Drosophila melanogaster: one gene and its partner. The protein of the gene in region 1 interacts with the protein of each later gene in a pairwise test. Each region holds a gene or a part of one and is shown on either strand. Other genes may lie near its edges.

The links.
Region 2: the proteins of CG17217 (region 1) and oc interact in a two-hybrid assay, tested with the Drosophila melanogaster proteins (one large-scale study listed by BioGRID).

Annotation. Positions count from the first base shown.
Region 1 is NT_033779.5:12,168,907-12,171,946, forward strand, and holds CG17217 (uncharacterized protein), read left to right. Parts: upstream 1-1,643; 5' UTR 1,644-1,750; coding exon 1,751-1,993; intron 1,994-2,050; coding exon 2,051-2,290; 3' UTR 2,291-2,326; downstream 2,327-3,040. Other genes in the region: CG6583 (uncharacterized protein), read right to left, coding at 2,792-3,018.
Region 2 is NC_004354.4:8,648,873-8,652,805, reverse strand, and holds the start of oc (ocelliless), read left to right. Parts: upstream 1-2,124; 5' UTR 2,125-2,431; exon of another isoform or gene 2,432-2,712; intron 2,713-3,933. UniProt on the Drosophila melanogaster protein: Transcriptional regulator involved in pattern formation and cell determination in the embryonic CNS and larval imaginal disks.

The DNA of each region.
Region 1 (3,040 bases):
GTTTCGCCGCCTCTTTGCGCCCATTTTGGATGATAGCTTGAATCTGTACTACCAACTCAACGATTTGGATGACACGGAGCACGTGAGGATCCATCAAACGGTAGCCCAGATGAATGATCTGACCAGCAGCGAAGAGGAGACAATGGTTACCCAGGTGAACAGTCCATCGCCACCGCCGGTGGGTGTGGAACTTTTGCTTCCAATCTCCAGCGACAGTTCGACGGCCAGCAGTTCTCTGTACGCCATCCACACTCCGTCTCCGGCTCATCCCAGTGGTGTGCTCCTGATGCCCCAGAATTTGGAGTCACCGTTGCTGTCCGGCAGTGATGCCATCACAATCACCGAGCAGGTAGAGCTGCATAATCCGCCACACCATCTGCAGCTACTCGAGGATGAGAACAACACATCCTGTTCGCTGTCATCGAATCTGACGGATAGCAAGACCCTGGATGGTCGCACCCCAATCGTCGTCTGATGGCTTCCATCTCCAATCCCGTTCTGCTTAACTTGTGATTATGTTTACACAGTCTTAGAGCTACAACAAACAGTTAGCGAAAAATAAGCCGCTTAATGTTTAATATAGTCTTAAATAATGTTTGTGTGTATGTGTCTGTCAAAGTTGTTTAAATATTAAAGGCGTTTATGCGGTAAGTCAAATCATTTCGAACATCATTTCATTGCTTAAACTATTTCAAATGAAGCTTCCAATATTTATAGAAACCCAGAAATTTTAGCAAATATCCCACCAAATACATTTTTCAAATTTCTTAGAACTTTTACTTATTTTCTCAAATGAAACAATGATATATACATTTCTAAAATATCTTTTCACAAAACTATTTTATTTGTCGAACGCCTGTCTTAATTCACAATTCGAACATTGCCTCTTTTCACTTTTAAGAACGTTTCATCCTTAAACTTAAACTTTCCAGCCGCATAAACGCAAACTTCATGTGTAACCTTTTATTTTCGCTTTTTAGTCATATCCACCCAAATCATTATCCCATCATCCATGATCTCCATCGTTTTTGAAACAGCAGAAAAGTATCAACATTGAGCAAATTTTTCTCACTTCGTTCGGATCGACAGAAGGATGTTGTATAGAAGAAAGTAGGCAGCCAGTTGGTCTGATGGGTCTCATAGAGTCCATCGGAGCCCCTAGGGACTTGGCATTAATAAATCTCATTTAGCACTCATGCACCTAGCGAAATAAATTGCATTTTCCTTGTTCTCGTTGCACCCATTCATAGGACAAATATTATTTGCTTCGTAGCTAAATTTACATGATTTTCATGGTCATAATCTTAAAACAAAAAAAAAAACCTACAAATAGGCTTAGCACAGGAGTCGATTTTAGTGTACAAGATGAAAATATATACTGATATTATAAATGAATAAATTGACATTTTAGCGTACTAGTTTAAGCTGAAAAAGTGTTAACAGACGAGCGCAATTCTTCTTCGTAAAGTTGGGCAATACGTATAATGAAAGGTATTTAAAAACATAAAATAAACATACACATATAATATAACTGAATCCGAAACATTCAACTTTTATTGAGTAAGTTAAAGTTAAATTATTATATTGTAATGGAAACAATATGGCAAAATCAAAAACATCAAGAATAAATGTTATACAAATGAAGCAAGTGTGTTACTTTATTTTCCTTAAACTACAAGCACGCCCGGTCATTTTCATTCCGATTTGGATATACTTTCTAAGTTTATACAAATCCCCAAAATTTCACATTATGAGACAGCAGCTGCTGGACGAGGAGTTCGAGAATCTGCGTCGCGTAGCGCTGGCCATATGCGAGAATCTCGGGAGACCAAAAGATCGGGAGATATGTCGAAGCACTCTAGAAGATCTGGCCAAGTTCCGCCAGGGATCGTCGATTAGGATTAAGGAGAATGTGCATAAGTTCCTGATGTTCTATCTAAAAGTTCTGAGATGGTCGTACAAGAATCAGCCAACGGATCTATATCGCAAATGGGTTAATTACATTTTTCAGTTAAGTAGCGATCATTTAGTAAATGTTTCAATTTTTCAGTATGGACAAAACTTTGGCAAGGACCCAAAGTCTGCCCCATCGGCCGGCAATTCCGAGGATGAACAGCGTGTTTGGTTGGAGGAGGGCAAGTCCTTTTACGCCATGAAAACATTTGAAGATGGCTCCACAGTTGTTTACTCAGCGGTGGTTAAGGATGCGAGAGCTGGTTGGTCGGAAAATGGTCTGAAAACTCTGATGGAAACGCAAGTGGGCTGCGCTTTGAATCGAAATGAAAATTGAATTGTTTAATACTCTTAATATAGTATATATTTTCATATTCTGTGTGTACAATTTACTGGTTTTTCGATATGGTAGTGGTTATTCGGATATGGCAGGTAAATACTAGTAATAAATATGTCAAACGTAAGCATTTTCGGAATGGTCATTTTTTAAAAATCAAATGTAGTAAAATCATTTTGAAAACATGTTCATTAAGTTAACTATATAAAAAGTACAAGCGACATAGGAAATTTACAATTGTTTAACGTTACTTTTCATTTAAATATTTTAGCTAGTTTTGGTCTGTAAATTTACCTGCCTCTTGTTTGGATATTGTAGATAACTAATGTACCTATACGATTAAAATGTTTTCAACTTTTCGACTTAATTATAGGCAGGAAAAAGGTGGACGGAATGTGTTTTTGATATCAAAAGTCAATCCTAGCTTAGATATCATGTGGAGTGGCGAAAAGGCACTTATTGCGTGTTTCGTTTGTGGTGAGGATAAGCCTGGTTTTCCTATTAACTTCTAAATATTCTGGAGGCAACGCCAATCAACAGGAGTCCCAACAGAAGCTGCAGGGATCCGTGCATTTGAACTAAGCTGGAACCATTGCAGCTGTCGCTGGAGCAGTAGCACTCCTCCCAGTACACTCCGTTTTCGTAGACTCCCCAGTTACAGACGCCAACCACTCCGGTATCGGAAACGGATGCACATCGTCGGATCACCTGGCGCCAACGACCGTCCCCTGGAAAATATAATGTAATTAT
Region 2 (3,933 bases), on another chromosome or scaffold:
AAAAAATAGGGAGAAAATAAAAAATGATGGCAAAAGTACACCCACGTGTACATATGTGCGCTCAACTTTGAGTATTTTCATTTTCAAATCGGTTTTTTACTTGCTTTGCGTTTTTTATTCGCTGACGCTGAAAAAGGCCGAACTAAAAAAGATACAATTTTCATGTTGGCAGTTGTAGTTTTTATTCGTATGTAATGAAATTTACGCGTTAGTTACTTACATATACTCCAAAAGATAAGACCTATAATTGTTAAAGTCTTATTTCAATTTTGGTTTTTCACAATTGAAATTGAAGTGAAAAAAAAAACAAACTTCCTATTGAAAGTTTAAATTAACTATTTGTAAATTGTGTAAGTAAATTACAGTTTTTGTCTAACTAAAACTTTTTCATTTGCGCGCAGTTTTTGCCTCCGTGAATTTTACTCCAAAAACATTTTACATTTCCCCGCAACATTTTTCATGAAAATTAGGTTTTTGTTTTATTTCATTTCGGGCTCTCTGTACAATTTTTTTTTCGAGATTTCCCGTTCGTTGTGTCCGAGTCCCAATTTGTGCGCTAAGCTTTTCCCCTCGAAGGGTAATTGCCTCATGTTTCATCTACACATCAATTAGCCGCAACAATTTAATTTGCCCGCCTGGAAATGGGAAAAGTGCGGTAGCTGGATAAAAAAAAAATAATAAGCACACAGCAATTTCAACAAGAAAAATCCATAAAATATTTGTGCAACATTTTCTCGCCGCCCAAACCTGCGGGCCGTTAGTGCGAGTGAGATGGCCAAACAACTGTCGTCAGCTATTTCAAATTGTCATAAAAATTTGATAAGGTTTTTTCCGCTGCTCCCCCAAACCACCCAACTCTGCGAATTTTTATTCCTGCGTCAGCTACAAGGCAAAAATATAACAGAAAAAAATGTTTGGGCACAAAAAGTGTTGGTTGCTCGAAAATATCATTTACAGTTAGACTGCCATGGTAGAGAATTTATAAATAAGCTAATTAATAATTATAAGCTAGTTGAAAATTAAAACTAACAAAACCGCTTTGCAAAACTAAATCATAATTATAATAGCTATATCTATTGAAATCATTTATTAAAGACCTCTTTTGAGCAATTCTTAGCCCACGAATAGCAAACTAGACTTTAAACCCAAATCCACCTTAAGTTTCGATTCTTTTCGCCTCACTTTGCGTAAATGATAATTGAACAATGGGGGCCGCCCATTGGGGCGAAAGAGAGGGGGCGTGCCAAGTGTGAGTGGCTGGCTCTCCCCATCCCTGTCGCGCTTTCGCCGCTGGTGTTGTGTGTGCATGGCAATTTGCGACGCAGAAGTAGAAGAGGAGGAAGCTAAAGAAGAAGCAGTAGCAGCAGTAGCAGCAGCAGTAGCAAAAGTAGCGGTACTGACCAGCGTCCTTTAAACGCCCGTCGCCACCTACCCCCGTTTCCTTATCTTTCGCTGTTAGCTAACAAATTTTTGCGTTGTTTTCGCTGTCTTGTCGTTTTCATTAAAATTTCATTGCTGCCGCGCAAAAATACGAAGGTACGTTGTTGCTTTTTTTTCCTCCTTTTATGACTATGTATTTTTTGCTCCTCGTTTTTTGCTCTTGTGGCAACAACAAAGTTGTTGAACTGAATTTTTTTGGGGTGTGGTCCCACACTCAAACGCACACCAGCAACGTACACACACGCTCATACACGCGCGCACACACACGCGCAGCAGCAACAACACAGCGGTAAATACAGCTGCTCAGCAAACGGTACCACCAGCAGTTGTCTCGCTCCCACTCAGTCAGGTTGTAAGCGGCGTGCGAGAGAGATGCCGCAAGAGAGTGAGAGAGAGAGAGAGAGCGAAATACTGAACGACTGGAACGGAGCGAAACTACGGCTATCTCACTCTGGCGCGCGGTAGAGAGCCGGGCAGCCATTGCTAAAAGCAGGCACTCACTCGCTCTCCCTCTCGTTTCCACCACCGCTGGTGTTTGTTTGTTGTTTTTTTCCTGCTTCTTCTTCCAACATTTTTTCTTGTTGTTTTTCTTTTTTCGCAGACTCTGGTCGAACGACTTTTGCTCTGCCCGCTGCTCGCTGCGCTGCTGCCGCCGCTGCCATCGTCCGTGGAAGGTGTACCGCAATTCATTTCCAGAGTAACTTTCGTGCCGCTCGGGTTGTTTTTGTGCGTCGTCCGTCGCCCAGTTGCTCAGTTGCTCATTCGCCCCGTTCGCCGCTCGTTCGATCGCTCTCGCCACTCGCCGCGTTCGCCGATAAGCAAGCAAGCACCAGCGCAAGCCAATAACAACAATCAATTCGCCGTCGCCAAACCGAATCAAATCAAATCGAAGCAAACTAAACCAATCAAACACAAATAAACAAATATCAACACGAGAAGCTATAGCTAACACAGCTATAGAGAAACAAAGAGCCCCAGAGGAGAATACTAAGTAATACAGAGAGATATATCCTTTTGGATATAACGCAGTGCCAAGTGACGAGAATCTGTTTTTTTACCGTGTTGCCAGTGCTAAACCATAAACATCGCCCAAAAAACATACATCTCTGGAATACAATATTTATATATATATAAATATACATATATATCTTTATATATATGCATGTGTAAAATATACTCATGCCATAACCATATAGTAGTTGGATCCGAAAACAAGTCACCATTGGAATACAGCACCGTTTTGCTTCTAGTTTTGTTTGTGTTTTTTTTTCGGTGAGTGCGATCCGCCGATATCGAGAAATCGGTAGCAATCTATATATCCAGCAAGGAATGTGGAGCCGAGAGATAAGCACGGATTACATGGGGAATCTGTAGACCTAAGTAGTTTTTGGGGGAGCGGGAATCTATCTTAGGGATTACTCTTATCAACTTGTTTATTTAGCAGAGATATTAGGTCACAAGTCTTACATTATCTATGACATATTTGAAATACACTCTTTAAACTTGGAATAATATTGAAAGATCTAACACGCTGTAAAGCTTAATTATTTTCTTTTTCGTTATCGCTTCAACTTTATTCTTGAGCCAATCTTCATTCTTCATTATAAAGCTCAGACTTTAGAGATATGTTATAATATGTTTGGTTCACTATTTTCGATTAGCCGAACTTGACAGATCTTTTGTTTTTCACTTACACTTCTACATATATTTACAAGGTTAAAATGTTCTTCCAAATGCTATAATCAACCGATATTATTTTGCCACATATACTAGTCTTTATTTAGCTTCAGATTCAATGGATCTTAGAAGTCTTTAATTGGAATACTATTCATTGATTTCGGGGACTCCCAAGTCCAACAATAGAGTTACCTATTCCATGCCCGAAACTTTGTTTCAGTTCCTTCAGCTCTTCGTGATATGATGGAGCCTTTTTTTTAAAAATCTGGTTTCGGTCAGGAAATTTCCGCCTATGACTAATGTGCTGATCGTAATGTGAGAAAATGCGCGTTTCGGAGATTCGTTATGATTTTCATAATTTTAATGGGCATATTAAGGCCGCCTCCCCTAATTAGGCAAAACAAAAAGAAGCCAGCAAGAGCCGACCAAATCGATACGAGAAATGTGATATAGAAAAAAGGCTAACAAAATGATAGGGCCAACGGCGAAGAAACCCCAAGAAAATCAATACTAGATACAATAGAAGACAGCCGACGGACCCGTTCGGGTCACATTATTCACACATATTCCCAACATCCCCACATCACCACATTCCCACTTCCCGATGTTAGCGATCGGATCGTCTAATTTCAAAGCGGCGGCTATAAATTAAAATATCTGAATAATACGTTGACTCCTCGCTGGCTACTTTGTTGTTCTGCTTTATTATTAATTTGCATATGGTTTTCTAACATAAAGCAACTGAATATTAAATATGCAAGTCGATTCATTTTTCTCCCATTCCGATAGTCTTTCTCCATTCGAATCAAAGTGTTG